Linked DNA regions of Macaca mulatta. The protein of the gene in region 2 interacts with the protein of the main gene of each other region in a pairwise test. Links are inferred from orthologs where the notes say so. Each region holds a gene or a part of one and is shown on either strand. Other genes may lie near its edges. The genes, in order: EHHADH, KCTD6, CTNND1 and GRB7.

What was found.
Region 1: the proteins of KCTD6 (region 2) and EHHADH interact in binary tests that used the Homo sapiens proteins (3 or more experiments, as listed by UniProt). The two-hybrid records come from large-scale screens. The link is inferred for Macaca mulatta from reciprocal best matches to the Homo sapiens genes KCTD6 and EHHADH.
Region 3: the proteins of KCTD6 (region 2) and CTNND1 interact in binary tests that used the Homo sapiens proteins (3 or more experiments, as listed by UniProt). The two-hybrid records come from large-scale screens. The link is inferred for Macaca mulatta from reciprocal best matches to the Homo sapiens genes KCTD6 and CTNND1.
Region 4: the proteins of KCTD6 (region 2) and GRB7 interact in binary tests that used the Homo sapiens proteins (3 or more experiments, as listed by UniProt). The two-hybrid records come from large-scale screens. The link is inferred for Macaca mulatta from reciprocal best matches to the Homo sapiens genes KCTD6 and GRB7.

Annotation. Positions count from the first base shown.
Region 1 is NC_133407.1:97,411,176-97,414,738, forward strand, and holds part of EHHADH (peroxisomal bifunctional enzyme), read right to left. Parts: intron 1,503-3,563; coding exon 1,399-1,502; intron 1-1,398. UniProt on the Homo sapiens protein: Peroxisomal trifunctional enzyme possessing 2-enoyl-CoA hydratase, 3-hydroxyacyl-CoA dehydrogenase, and delta 3, delta 2-enoyl-CoA isomerase activities. Catalyzes two of the four reactions of the long chain fatty acids peroxisomal beta-oxidation pathway.
Region 2 is NC_133407.1:122,078,941-122,083,011, reverse strand, and holds the start of KCTD6 (BTB/POZ domain-containing protein KCTD6), read right to left. Parts: upstream 2,817-4,071; 5' UTR 2,731-2,816; intron 2,545-2,730; exon of another isoform or gene 478-2,544; intron 1-477. UniProt on the Homo sapiens protein: Probable substrate-specific adapter of a BCR (BTB-CUL3-RBX1) E3 ubiquitin-protein ligase complex mediating the ubiquitination and subsequent proteasomal degradation of target proteins.
Region 3 is NC_133419.1:15,575,924-15,579,486, reverse strand, and holds part of CTNND1 (catenin delta-1), read left to right. Parts: intron 1-144; coding exon 145-251; intron 252-663; coding exon of another isoform or gene 664-750; intron 751-1,049; coding exon 1,050-1,061; 3' UTR 1,062-3,563. UniProt on the Homo sapiens protein: Key regulator of cell-cell adhesion that associates with and regulates the cell adhesion properties of both C-, E- and N-cadherins, being critical for their surface stability.
Region 4 is NC_133421.1:64,090,853-64,094,951, reverse strand, and holds the start of GRB7 (growth factor receptor-bound protein 7), read right to left. Parts: upstream 2,847-4,099; 5' UTR 2,416-2,846; intron 2,198-2,415; exon of another isoform or gene 2,157-2,197; intron 1,978-2,156; exon of another isoform or gene 1,627-1,977; intron 1-1,626. UniProt on the Homo sapiens protein: Adapter protein that interacts with the cytoplasmic domain of numerous receptor kinases and modulates down-stream signaling. Promotes activation of down-stream protein kinases, including STAT3, AKT1, MAPK1 and/or MAPK3. Promotes activation of HRAS.

The DNA.
Region 1 (3,563 bases), about 25 Mb from region 2:
CAAACATATGAGAATTACTAGTTATATTTTGTTATTGATTTCTAGCTTAATTGCATTATTGTCAGATAATATATTCTTAATGAAATTTATTTAAATAAGATTTTATAATTCAGTATCTAGTCAATTTTTGTAAATGTTCCAGATGTATTTCAGAAGAATCTATATTCTCCCATTTTGGGGTGCATTGTTCTATGTACATGCATTAAGCCAAGTTTCATAATCCCTAATACTTTTTTAGAAGAATAATTTTTTCTGCCTCCGAACTCTAATTGCATTCTCTCATCTACCTTCTTTCTTACAAAGAAATATCAAGTTCTTTATCATTCTGATCACTCTTTCCATGCATCATTGTCATCATCTTGGGTGCCAAACCTTAAGTTTCCAAACAGTGAGTAAGCTATTTAATAACTGGTTAAGGTTTGGGACATTATATTAATCTCTTCCAGGCTCAAAATATCTTCTTACCTGTAAATGAGGATTGTAGGACTAACTGAGAATTAAAATAGAATGTGTTTAAAAATACTATTACTTTTATTATTATTAATAAATAACCTACATGGTACTAGCACATAACAGGCAAGATAAATGGTAATATTATAATGATTCACATTTTTATATTTATTTATTGCCATGATTCTAACATCTGTGTCTTTTCAGGCTACCATTAACACACATTAAATTTCTCTGGCTACAGTAAGGTTGAATAGGCCCCCATATCCATGTGACTTTTGTTAAAGGGTATAATGTATTCATTAAGGAAAAGATGCCATATATACCATTGAATAAATCACCATTTCAAAATACTTTTGCCATATTTTGTCAAGAATTTTGCATCTTCACACAATAACCCAATAAAACAGTGCCATTGTCACTGAGATGGGTGACTACCAGAAGAAAAATGAATTCTATTATAAGACTCTGTGTGAATTAAACAGTAACGTTTATTGACCATCTTCTGTGTATAGGTACTGTAGTAGAGGCTTCCAGATATGTTATCTCATTTAATGTCACAAAAACCCCTTAAAATAGATATTATTGTTCCTACTTTATAGATAGAGAAATTGAGGTTCAGGAGGTTAAAGAGATTTGCCCAAGCCCATATGTGGTGGAGATACATGCAATGCAGGTATATATCAGTAAGTGTGTAACAGCCATCAAGTCTGGAACTAAATATACTCTAAAACCCCAATCCACTATAAAAGAGACTAAGCCCAAAGTCTTCTCTGGGTCTCTCTTGTAATTCCAGTCCCTTTCTCCACAATGTTTCTCATTCTCACTCAAGTCTGTCATTTCCATTACCTACACTAAGTTATTACTCACAAGCACAGCTAATGTAGTATTGGTCTCAGTCTGTGGTTGGCTTCCAGAGATAGTGGGAAAGGGTTAGACTTAAGTTACCTGCAGAAAATTTGCCCTCTGCTCCACAAATCACAATGGCTTTTATTGTATGGTCTATTACAGCTTTCTGTAGTCCTTCTTTTACATCACGGAGTACGGCCGTACTAAAAGAAAACAAAATACACTAACTAAATTAGTCAGAATTAAATTCCTACCATTCAGAGTGTTTTCCTTTCCTAACAATGAAAAATTAAACACACACATAATGGATAAGAACTACAGATACTTCTCAATAAAGCTTCCAACAAATAATATATGTGTCTACTATGACTATTATATTTGTTCTACAAATAATATATGTGCCTATGATTAATTAAGCACTGAACAGATTAAATTAATCCACTTTTTAAAACTGTAATTTTCCTGCCCTGTGCTTTCACTTTGACCACTTAAAATTGGCACCAACCAATTTAAAAATATTATTACATGGCTTCCATATACTGTACAAGGAGTTATCCAATACTTGTACATAATTTATCATGTAAGGTGCACTAAGATGAGTGCTGTAAAAAAGGTACAAAGAAAAAGTGATGTTGAAATCGAGAAGGGTGAAATGACTTTCAATTTTTCATATTGGTAAAATATAAGAAAATTAAATGAGAAACAGTCTAGGAGCTGTGGCAGGGGCTGTGAGTTACCTCAAATATCCATTCCTCTCCGTCTTCTTCATAGTATTAAAACACCTGGTTTTTACTTGAATATATGTGATATGGTTTTGGCTCTTAATCCCCACCAAAACTTCATTTTGAATTGCAATCCCCACATATCAGGGAAAGATCTGGCGGGAGGTGACTGGATCATACCAATGGTTTGCCCCATGCTGTTGTTCTGTGAGGGAATTCTCAGGAGATCTAGTGGTTTATAAGTGGCAGTCTCCCCTGCACTCACGCCTCTCTCCTGCCACCTTGTGAAGAAGGTACTTGCTTCTCCTTTGCCTTCCGCCATGATTGTAAGTTTCCCCAGGCTTCCCCAGCCATGTGGAACTGGCAGTCAATTAAACCTCCCTCCTTTATAAATTACCCAATCTTGGGTATGTCTTTATAGCAATCTGAAAATGAAAATGGACTAATACAAAAATACGGTTGCCCAAAATAAAGACTACATTTTCCAGCCTGCTTTACAGTAAGGTCTGCACAAGGAACTAAGTTCTAGCCAATGGGATGGAAGCATATTTGGTATGTGCAACTTTTGGGAAGAGTTCTGAAAGATTTGGGTATGCTTTTCCCTTTTTCTTTCCTCCCTACTCCTGGCACCAATGATGGTTAGATCAGGAGCAGCCAGCTTGGATCAGGAGACAGAAGCTATGTATTGAGGATGGTAGAGCAAGAGATAGACAGAATAAATAATTGAGGCCCTTGTTGATTGTGGAGCAGCTGTATCATTCCAGGACACTGCCGCGAGAGAAATTAGCTTTTTATTGTCTAATTTACTATTATCTTGAGTATTCTGTCAGTGACAGCCAAGCATAATCTCAGATAAGAGATAAAAGCAAGATCGTGGAAAGATAGGGCATGTAGCAGATTTTGCCAAGTTTTAGTATATGAGGAAGTAATCCACAAAAGAGATAGCTAAAACCAAGACTGAATGAGTCTACCAATGGAAAAGAGAGCTGAGGGCAGATCCTCTGGATATATCTTCATTTAAGAAGTGGGAGAAGCTCAGCAGCGTGATTCAGCAAGTGAGCCCAAAGTCACAAAGACCAAGAGAGAAAATTTGTGAAGAAGGAGGGGATTAATAAGTACCAAGCAACCGAAGAGAATCTAGGGCAAGTGGTGAGGAACTGCTTAAAAGAAAAATCACAGAACCAGATTCCAATCAGTTTTGCCTTGGAATTCCAAGTATTCTGGGTAAAATCTCTGTTCTTTAGTATACAGGGTTAAAAATAAATTTTAAAACAAAACAAACAATAACAAACTTCTGTAAAGGCCAAATTGTTAAGACCAATAACTATGAGCTAAAAACCCAAGCAATAAAAAGGATACTTGCCCTTGTATATAATGGTTCCCTTTCACCTAATTACTTTTCACCTCTTAACCTAGATGAAACCAGACAAACCCTCTTGCCTTCAGCTGGTTAATTAGAAGCCAAATCTGATCACAAAAAGCAAATTCAGAACCATTATATAATAAAAAAATTCAAAAGGCACACATTTCCTTCTGAATAAA
Region 2 (4,071 bases):
CTAATGTATAAATTCTGACAGTGTCATGTTAGCAGGTAATTAAGCTTAAGAAAACACATACTGAAGAATTTACAGAAGCCTTAAAAGAAAATATTAATTTTCTAAAGTAGTATATCTGAAGAATACATAATTCAGTAAGTTAATAACTTAAAAAAGTAACCTAAGAACCCTTAAATGCCATTCTCCCTGTCACTGCAGAATTGCAATTTCAGGCCTCATGGTTACGATGAACCAACCTAACAATATTCTGGGTTTATCATTCTTGCTATAGATTAAGAATTCTCCAGGGCAAAAGTCCTAATCCTGTATAACTACCTATATGTTGCAATAAAAACCTCCGAACTTCAATGAAAAATAAAAACTTCCAACTACTGACTTCCCAGAGTTTCCAGGCAGCCCTTTAAAATGCGTTTTTAATGAAACCTTCGTGTCTGGTAGTCAGAAAAGACTCAATAAACTCCCTCTCTCTATACTTACCTTCAAAATTGCCTTTTTACTGAGTTTTGCTCTTCTTGAAATGTGGGAGTTTGAAAGTGAAATACTTTTTATAGTAACTAGTTCAGCGACATCTAAAGGAGCCTTTGGGGTTAACATTCACATACAGGCCAGCACAAGTAGCCAGGCATACAAGGATAATGTGATTATGGTGTTACATTATCCTTAACCATACCACTGCAGAAATGGATTTTTCTCTAAAAGTAATCATTTTCTCTTTCTCCTCTCTCAACCATGTGGTCAAGAAGAGAGGAGTTACAGGTTTAAAAGTGACCTAATATTAAAAAGCTGTCACAAAATCGTAACACTCCTCTTAACCCTCAGTTTCCGAAAGGTAAGATGGGCTAATACCATCTTCCCAAAAGTAATTACACCATTTAGGCACTACACAAAAGCAAAAATTGGCCTATAAGAGTAACACATCACAGGACAAGGAAAGAGAACAGGTTCCCAGGGAGGTCCTGTAGTCGAATTTTGCTCCATTACTGATTATGAGACCCTGAGAAAATGACTCTTTATGCTCAGCTTCTTCTTTGGGGAAATGGAGAAAATAAAGGAGATCATGAATATAAAACCATCTGTAAACTGGCAAGTATTAGACAAACGTGAAAACACTAGTGGCAGCAGCATAAACAAAATTTCTATGTTAACATGAAAAACTTGAGTGTGAACAAAGTAATTTAGAGCATTGGCCTGGAGACGGCAAATATGGAGGAGGCAGCCTCTTAATTTGCTCTAAATCTCCCCGGGTCCTCTTTTTCCCACAGCTCCAGAAGGGAGAACTACATACAGGTAAAGGGGAGTGTCTAGTTTTCCCAGAGATCACCCAACATCTGAGCTCCTGATCTCAGAAGGAACTTCCTTAAAGCATGACTCAGGATTATCTCCAAGGTAAAGCTGAATCCAAATACATACATGTACTCCATTTTAAATGGACCCCAAATATCAAAATCCAAACGCACCGAAGGATTCATAGGGTTCACCCTAAGATTTCTGTAAGTAGTAATGCTTTGGTTAAAATATGATTTATGAAAATTCAAATCACAAAACTTTGGGATGGCATCCGTGGCTGTCCTGACCACTCCACTCCATCGTTCATATCTAAAGCATAGCACAAAATCAAGTATCTTTATGGACTGATGGTTTTCGGCCAAAGAGAAAATTCTCTCAACCTACCAACCCTGCTGACAAAACCATTTTCCTTTTCCTAGCTACATATTTATTCATTTGAAAACATCTCAATCTTGGGCTCAGGACTGTGCTACATGCTGTCCCCAAGCTTCTCTCCTATCCCAGGATGATTCAAGTAATAGGGCATTTGTGACAGCGAAAAAAAGAACATGCCAGGGGGATATGGAAGAGATGCTTAGGCTACCCCAAATATTCTTAGCCGAGCCGGGTCATCCCAGGTCACTTTGCCACCCAAACCTCTTCTATCACAAAGTCCTAAAATTGGATCCATCAACTTGTTCTAGAACTGGTATACTTGAACAGAAACATGATAACTTCAGCAGAATATCCAAACAGGATCTCTGTCACGTTTCATTTCCCCGTCCCACCCCCAGACACAGCCTCCACCACTGACAGCCCAGCAGGTGCTGCCAGGGCTCCCCATTACCACAGCCATTTATCACCTCTGACATCAAGCATTAAAAACGCCACCACACACACAAATCTAGGCATAAAGAACTCAGCTGCAATCTGAGTGTCTCTTCAGGGTAGAAAATCCCAAAGCCAGGGTTTTGAGTCCTGGCTCACGCTTTAAACTAGGGCAATTGGTGGCTAATAAGCGCAATCTCCCAAAAACAATCATTTTCGAGCACACCCCGAATGTCTCCGTCCGGGCCGTGCTTCGCTGCTGCCCCACCAGCGAAACCCCCACAAACCCGACCCGGCCAGGGGTAGGGCGGGCGATGCTCCGGGCCCGGACGAGGGGCGCTCCGCGGAGCTCCGAACCCGGGCCCGCAGAAACCGCGCATCCCCGCGGGCGGACCCCAGAACCCCCGCCCAGGCCCCGCCGCGGGCACCTCCGCCGCCGGCTCGTGCCAGCCCCGGGACGCGCGGTCCCCTCAACGCGGCCCCGCCGCCACCGCCCGGTTCCAGGAGCCCCCGCCCAGATAATCCTCTGCCCCGCTCCCCTGGCCGCTCCGCGCAGACGTCTCCCGAAACCCGGCCCTCCCAAGCCCCGGCCCTCCCAAGCCCCGGCCCCGCAAGCCCCAAGCCAGCCCCACTCACTGCGCGGCGGCGGCGGCGGCGGCGGCAGCGGCGGCGGCCGGGCCGGGAGATGCCCGCGGCCGGAGAGCGCGAGCGCGGGGACGAGCGAGCCCGCGCCCGGCGGCGGCGGCGGCGGCGGCGGCAGAAGGGACGACTGAGCCCGCGCCCGGAGTTGCGGCTCCAGCTGCCCGGCGCGGGCGGCGCCTTCCCAGCAGAGCCGTAGCGCCACAAGCGCGGGCGCCCCCTAACGGCAGCGCGGGCGGGAAGCCAGAGAGCCGGGCGGCCTTAGGAGCGAGCGCAGCCGGAGCCGCGCGGTCAAGACCGCAAGACCGCAGCCCCGAAGCCCCGCCCTGAAGCCCCAGTCCCGCCCCTTAGGCTCAGCTCAGAAGCCCCGAAGCCCCGAAACCCCGCCCCTGCGTCCCGCCTCCGTCCGCAGCCTGGGGTCCGCCCAGCCCCAGGCCCACTGCGTCCTCAGAGCTGGTGTTTCCACAGCTGTTTCTCCTTAGTCATTTCATGAACTTGTATGGGACCCCCACTATATCTCAGGCCTGGGGGTTTAGGAGATACAGCGGCTACCAAGACGCAAGCGGGTCCTAATGAAAGGAGAAGACAGACAAGAGTCAAGGAAACAGCTAATAGACAAAATAATGACAGGTTATGATCATAAGCGTTGGGAGAGGCGTGATTAGAGGACTTAGATGGAGAAGGGAAGGGAGCCCCTGCTTCAAACGCAGTAGCCAAGGAAGACCTGGACCCCGGACCTGCGGTCGGAGCCTCTCCTGCCTGCCCTGCACTGGGGAGACAACCCTGCGATGAGGCCTGTGAAGAAGCCCCCGCGGCCACCCCTCCGGCCTGGTGGGCAGGACAGCAAAGGACAGCTGGGCCCAGAGCCTCAGCAACACGGGCAGCCAGGTGGAGAGAAGGGCAGAGCCACCTTCAGCAGACGAAACGACCCGTGCAAAGGCTCTGGGGCCTGGAGGAGCTCGGCCCTAGATGAGACTGGCGCCGGTATTGTCCCCACTTCACCAGGAAGGAAGCCAAGACTGCAGAGGATGGGCAGCTCCTAACGCCTCAGGGCTAATTGGCCTCCATCCGTCCACTCGTTCCAAGTCCCATTCGCTTCCTACTAGCCAGGCCTCTGTCCCCTTCCGTTGGGACCGGTTACCTGATGCTGGGTTTAACCTTCTCCACCAGAATAACCACTGGCCTTAGAAACTTACTTGGGTTTCACGTCTGCATGTGTGTGAGCTAGCTCTGGGGTTGAAATTATATCAGCATGATCATCACAGTTGTATCTGATACTTGATTCTTCTCCAAAGCTCAAATTGATAGGTTAAATAAATGACATATGCTTCATCAACA
Region 3 (3,563 bases), on a different chromosome or scaffold from region 2:
TATCAGACTTCAGTGCCTTTCTGGAGCATTTGGCAAGCTCAGTTCCCAACAGTGGTGCCTAATTACACCCATCTGCTTGATATATATTGTACAGTAGAGGGGAATGTCATATTTCTGCGTACAATTTTTTTTTTTTTTAATCAGATAACAACTATTCCACACCAAATGAGAGAGGAGACCACAATAGAACACTGGATCGATCGGGGGATCTAGGCGACATGGAGCCATTGAAGGGAACAACACCCTTGATGGTAAATTCTTTTTATATACTGCTATCTGTCTAAGGCTAGTTCTATTTTGAATCCTATGTGTTTTGTGAAATACAAAAAAAAGTACAGAGAAAGATCGCATCCTTTTCTGGTAGGGGTTTTTAGGAAAAAGTAAGGGTTTTGACTCGTGTTGGGATTTCATGGGCCGTTATTCTGCAGTGGTCAAAATGGGGGAAGCATGTCTGTAAAAGTGTTACTGATATGACTAACACTAACTGATCTATTTTCAAACATTACCTTTTTCCTCTTCCTCCCTGTTTATGAATGTTTTGCCCTTCTCTTACTATTATATCTTGTTTTGTTTGAGTTTACAAATTTTCAGAGTTTCCCCAGGTCTGGCACACACATGAGGTTCCTGTCTCTACTCATACTAACAAATTGCATGTGTTCACAGCAGGACGAGGGGCAGGAATCTCTGGAGGAAGAGTTGGATGTGTTGGTTTTGGATGATGAGGGGGGCCAAGTGTCTTACCCCTCCATGGTATGTCCTTCAGTCACCCCCAAGATTGTCCTTGAGGAAGGAGGCTCCTGTGTGCCAGCAATTTGTCAATCACGCTGATCTGATCAGGCCAGAGGCTAACTAGTCTCAGCCACATGGGGCTCGAGGGGTTCTGCTTTTGTGATTATTACCTCTTAAGAGTCTGGGACATGCAGCTGGTAATCTGATTCTCCATTATGTGCTGCTTTCCTGTTTCCAGATTTGTTCAGCTTTTTTTGAGGGGGGGGGTCTCCTTAATCCCAACCCCGCTAACATCCTCTCTTTCTCTTTTTTCTCCACAGCAGAAGATTTAGCACCACTGTCTCCATTCCATCTGGGCTTATATGTACTTTTATTTTTTGGTGGTGAAATTGACTGATGATTTTCCTTTTTCTTCGCTGGACTATTGTGCCAACTGCCAGGCTGCCTCCTGCCCTTACAGCCCTACGTGGCTGCCTTCTTTCCATCAATTCCCAACTTCTTCCGGTGAAGTTTAATTGTCTCAACGCTTCCCCCTCCCCCATTCTCTCCATTTTCTCCCAAGAAGCCTGACTCAGTTATTTGCATATTTTGAGAAACTGCTGCAGATTAGTTCTTTTTGCCAGTTCTCCCTGGAACTCTTGGCCTTTTGTGGAGGGAGGGATGGAGAGAATAGCAATCTTCACTGGAAGCCGTGGGAAGAATTGGAAGTTACATGCTGTATATGCAATGTCCAGCAGTCTGATAAACTGATGATTCTTAATCAAGATTTTTTTCCTGGTGGGGAAGGGACTTTTATTTTCTTTTAGAGAGGGGAAAGTGTGAACTCTTCCCTTATTCCTGATGGCTATTTTTGAAGCAAAGAAGGCCGGCAACATTGGCACATGCCACCTGGCAAAGGACCCTTGAGTAAGTGAAGGTCTCCTAGAACTGGGATTAAGAAACCTTGCTCTCCTCATCTCCAAGGCAGGGACCATCAAGAACCTACAGACTCCATCTCTTCTGCAAGCCTCATGCCAACCCTGGGCTATTGCTGCTGCCCCTTAAACAGAGGCTGTCCTTAACCCACTTCTCCCGCCCTGTGATATGTCTGCTGAGTTGGCCTGGCCATTTCCAAGAGGCTATAGAAAGGGGAGAATGTCAAGGAAGACTTTTGGTTGAGAAGGAGCAGAAAGATGTGTTTTTGGGAAGAAGAAGACCTCTAGGAGGAGCTAGTAGGAATGTACATGAAACGATTAGTCTGAAACTGGCTTCCCCACTCCCCTGTTTCTCCTTTTCCTATCCTTATAGGCCTGTCCCTTGCCTCTGCCCTGGATTGGTTGGCAAACTAAAGGACTTGATGTACATAACTCCTGTCCCTTTTACCCTTACAAGGTGGGGATTGCCCCTGGCTTTGCCTCTTCTTTGTGCCTTTGGCCTGGGGTGCATCTCCTCCCGCCCTTCCATGTGCCTTTCTTTGCCTCTGCAGTCTCATTTCTCATAATTTTGCAAATTATATTTTGTTGCTTTCTTACCTACTATTGGCCCTAAATAGCAGAAAGAAGAGAAGTGACCTAGAGAACCTCAGATTCTTCACTGAGGATTGGTATAGCCATGATTTCAGTCATAGCAAGCTTTTGCTCAACAGCATGTGGGTGGGATTTTGCCAAAATTCTATTCTGATGAATCTCAAAGTAAGGTTGGTAAGGGAGGTGAGTGGTGTGACTCTTACTCCTTAGGTGCCCAGAATTTACCATCATCTCTGAAGGAGTTACAGGGAAGTGGTCTCCCCAATTGTCCCCTCCCTCCAGTATTGCCTCCTCTCACTTTAGCATGTATTAATTAGCAGGTTGGGCTAGAGAAATCAGCTGCTATGCGGGTTGATTATTATTATTATTTTTAATCCTTTTCCTTATTTGCCTTCTACTCCCCTTAATCTAATCTAAAAGCTCTGTTCCATGCAACTTTATCCCTCTCTTCCCCTTCCCTTATATATTGAGGCTATGGGGTAGGAGAAAAGTGCACAACCCACCACCCCCTTTACTCGTGCATTAAAATTTCTCATTTACCCTTTCCCCGCTTTCCATTTCTTCCCACTTTCATCTACCTTTTCTGGCAAAAAGGAGCCTTTTGCTCTCTGTGACCCCTAAGAGCATACTGCACAGGGGAAATTGCCCCATCCAGACCTGGCTCCACTCTTGATTTCTTTTGTCCTCTTCTGCTCTTTTCCTGGTGCTCTTTTTTCTCGGTGGGGTGTGGGTAATAGAACAGCCATGGGCTTTTGGGGACCTTTAACTTTTTTTTCCCTCTTTTGTTTATAAAAACACTAAACATTCAATTCCAGAGAACCAAAAATCCCACCTTCCCACCGAACACTACTAAGGGGCCTGTGTTCTGCTCCATACCTTTTCTCTTTTCTTTCTGTCTTGTTAATGCTTTTAAAAACAAATGAGTTTTTTATATAAATAAAGTTTTTAAAGTGTGTATGTGGGGGGTCTGTGTCATTTCTTCACTTCAAGCTGTTATTTCTTCCCTGCTTTTCATCTTTGTTACTTCCTTATGTATCAGTGTCCTTTCCAGAGCAACCAGAAGGAGGTTATACCAGGATTTATTTTGAGCTCAGCCCCAAGTCTTATTAAGCAACATTCTTGTTAACTATATGTGAAACATTTTTTTCTTCTGAAGATTCTTAAAAATTGAATGTGGCTGACGTTGAACATGGGAGCTTATTGCTAACTTAAGAGATAGGAAACTGAAGCATAAAGAATTAATGACTTTAATTACTGGGATTCTTTTGCAACATTTGACAAAACTAACATTGAATAAGGTCCACTGTAATATGTAGCCCTCTTTAAATA
Region 4 (4,099 bases), on a different chromosome or scaffold from region 2:
GGGACCTGTGATCTGCTCTCACCCCCAGTGCCAAACCACCGCCTTGCCAGGGAGTCCCTCACCTGGGAAAGAGAGAGGCAATGCCCGGCCTGGATTCAGAGGCCCATTTGGAGAGAAGCCAGTGTCCCAGCGGTGCCCCTCCCCACCCAAAGCATCGCTCAGAGCCCCCGCCCCGTGTGGATGAGGTTCCTCCCGACACATTCTCCTGGGTGTCCTGGCCAGAGGGGTACCACAGGAGCAGGAGCAGAAAGGGAAAACACTCAAAAAGACAGACAGGATGAAGGGCCAGGGAGGGGGCCCAGGGTCTGGCCAGGAGGGGCAAGATATACCCGCCACCCGCTAGCAAGAGACACCAGCACCTCAATATCAGAACACGATCCCCCACTCCCACCCCAGTCTACCCTCCAAACAGCCCCGGTCTCCAAACAGCCCTGGTGACTTCATTCCAGGTTGCAGGGGGCCAACAGTGGGATGGGGAGAGGAGCAGAGAATTCAGGAGGGCAGCGATTGGAAGGGGTTAGAAGTGGATTTGAATCACATTACAGCCTGGCCTCAGAGATCAGAGAGGGCCAGCCTAAGGCTGGGGTTTGCCTTCAGATCCCCCCACCCGGGCCCTTCAGCCCCTTCTAAGGCTGGAGGCGGGTGGAATCCTCAAGACCAAAGAGGCGAGCAGGGAGGGGAAGGGCTCCTGGCTGTAGGCCTGGCAGCTTAGAGATCTGGAGTTTTGAAACTGAGGCACCGGGAAAGTTTCGGTTGGAAAAACCGACCCCCAAAATCAGTTTGTCCCCTCAACGAGGTAACTCCGGCGGTGTCTTCCCAGCTGCCTCCTCCCCCAGTGGCTCCAGCCCCACCCGCGTTCCCGTCCTCCCAACCTCCTTGTTTACTTCCTGAATCACGCCCCACCTGGCTGGCCCTAAGGGCGGGTGGCGGGGCCCGGTGTTCAGGGCCAACAGAAAACAACTCTACTTCCCAGAGTAGGGGGAAGGGCTTGCGGGACTGAGGCCTGGGCCAGGGGCCTGGATGTGGCGGGAGCGTCCCTGTCCGCCCAGTACTCCACGCCCCGCCCCCACGGGACAGGCTTATAACCTTTTAGGGTGCAGGGCCCAGGTGAGAAGGTGAGAAACCCCTGGATGACTCCTAGTAGAAGGGAGGACCCAGGACTCTGAGGCCCCGCCCACTCTCACTCAGGAAAAATACCCAATGAGAGAAGGCGGGGCAGCTCTTTTAAAGTTTAATTCGGGAAGAATGCTGGAGTGTCTGTGCGGTTAATCATTACAGGCTGCCTGCTTCCATGAGGTCCCCCCACCCCGCACACAGCAGGATATCAGGAGAGAGCAGAGTCCAAGACCGGCGGACCAAAAGGGAGCATTCCTGGTGGGCAGTGAGGCTGGAGCGGGGCGGCGAGGGGGGGTTCCACCTTGCCGGCAGGTGCATTCTCTGTCCTCAATCTGCCAGGGAGACCCAGACCGGGTACCTGGGTCTCTCCTTAGCCTCATCAAGCAGAGGAAACCATCTGCCATCCCCTACCCCACTCTCCCCAGGCCCCACCGCACTGCAGAGCCCCTCACCCACCCCTCTAGCCTTCCTGGCCACTTCATGCTGAAGCCAGGAGGGACCCCGGCTCACCCGGCCTCCACTTTCCCACCCGAGGGCCGGAGGCGATGTTGCTGAGCAGGGCATACAGTCTGGAGAGATGGAGCCTCAACAATTTAGAGGATCCCTCTCCTTCACCGTCCTCCAAAGTGGAGGGGGCCCTCCCCACATCTCCCCGCAGCCCGCGGAGACGTCTGTCTTAGAGACTTGGGGAAACCCAAACTGGGGTAAACTGGGCGAGCCAGGGAGTGAGGGCGGCTCTCCCAGGGTGTGCGGGGAGGGGCCAGTTTCAGCGGGAAAGCCAAGTCGGAGGAGAGAATCAGGTCTTCCTTCCCATTCTCGCTGCTGGCTTCGGGGAGGTGTACCGGGAGGGAACAAGGAGGGCTGGAAACCAGGATGGGGACGAAAGAGGGCGGGTGGGGAGGAGGGGGCGGGGTGGGAGATGGGAGGAAAAGAGAAAAGTGGGAGGCCGAGCAACCCAGCAGGAGACCCAGCCTTTCCCTACCGGCCCCCAGACCGGCCGTGCCTGCCCCCAAAGGATGAATGCCCGCTTGGGTTCTTACCTGAACCCCGAACATCAGGACACCCGGCTGGGACCACGTCTTCAGGGAGGGAGACGCCAGGCCCTTAAGTACCTGTCCCCCTCCAGCCCCCGCCCCGGGCCTGACATCACCGAGCGGGGGAGGGGGAGAGCCAGGTGGCTCCAATCCGCCCACCTGGGCCGACGGCCAGTTCGGCCGGAGACGGGCACAGCCTGGGGCCCTGGTGCGGCTGGGGGTTGCCTGGCAGGCTGTTGTCTGAGACCGATCTCTGTCCCCTTACCTGGAGGAGCCCCAGCAGGAGTAGCAGGACACCCGTTCCGAAGTCTGGCTCCGTCTAGGAAACCCCAGATTCCTGGATTTTATTTCAGATCCACTCCCGCTTCTCTACAGGTGGTAGGAGGGTGTCCCGACTTCGGACAGAGAAGTCAGGGCCGGGGGAGCCCTGTGTGTCCAGATTCCAGGCCCAAGGAAACTAAAATTATCTTGGGCAGATGGGGGCGTGTCCAGGGGAGGCGCCTGGGAGGAGGAAGCCTGGGAGGAGGGTGGGGACTCCCTGACACTCTACGCCAACTGGGATTGTTTTTGCCCTTCCTAGCCTGGCAGCAGGTGCCAAGAGAGGGTGCAGGTGCCTAGGAAGAGGCGGGGAAGACAGCCGAACAGACAGCACCAACAGCGAAGATCAAGAGTCCCGACCACCTGGGAGGGCGGGGGGAGGGTCTGAGGGCTGCAAGGTAAAGGGAACCACCGGTCCACTCCTCCCAAACATCCTCCCTGAACCTGGTCTGTTCATTGGCCAAGCCAGGGGGCACTTCTGCAGCTCTGGATCCCACCCCATGGGGCAAAGAGCACCCTGCCAAGGAGGGACGCCAGCCACGGGGGTGTCCAGCAACATGGCCTGCCCGTCGATCTGCAGGCACCCATACCATGGTGGCTGTGCCCTGGCCCCTCAGAGGCACCCAGGGTAAGCCCCTCTCCCGCCCCCCACCTTCTGAGCAAAGTCCAGAGTCTTGGCTTCCCCTTTAAAATCGAGGGGCTTAGGCTGGGTGGCACAGTGGGAGAAGCCATGGTGACCCAGAGAAAGCTCTGGCCTGGGCCCCTGGAGATTCCTCTTAGAGGGATCACTTTATTTTTTTGAGACAGAGTCCTGCTCTGTCACCCAAGCTGGAGTGCAGTGGCGCCATCTCGGCTTACTGCAAACTCCGCCTCCTGGGTTCAAAAGATTCTCCTGCCTCGGCCTCCCGAGTAGCTGGGATTACAGGCCACACACCCAGCTAATTTTTGTATTTTTAGTAAATCGGGGTTTCTCCACGTTGGCCACGTTGGTCTCGAACTCCTGACCTCGTGTAATCTGCCCACCTCGGCCTCCCAAAGTGTTAGGATTACAGGTGTGTGCCACCGCACCCGGCCTGAGGGATCGATTTAGTTCTCTCAGGGATCACTTTAGCTCTCTAGTTCAGCACTGGGCAAACAGGGTACTTGGGAGAAGGGTTGGGAGGCAGAAATCAAAGGCTGTGGCCACCACCCAGCTTGATGCGGGTGACAGGAAAACAAACAATCCTTAGGGTGATAAGAGGTCCACCATGGGGGGGGCACAGAGGAGTGACTCCTGCCTCAATTTTCTCCAGAGTTTTCCTAGGAAAACCGGTATGAATGTGCCCAGCAAAGAAGTGGGGGAGGAGGCAAGGTCTCTTGGGTGATGGAGCAGCTTGTGCAAAGGCAGAGTAGACAATTCACTCATTAATTTATTCAACTCTCTGTTCAGTACCTACCATATGCCAGCCCCATGTTTGGTGCTGGGCATACTGGGGTAAGCAACAAAAACAGACCCCGCCCTATCCTCACACAGCCAATCAGGAAGATTGATGTTAATCAAAGAATCACACAAATAAGAAATGACAGGAGACAACTATGCTGGGAGAATGACTCACATAGGGAGTCAGGAAAGACTTCTCTGTGGAGGTGAC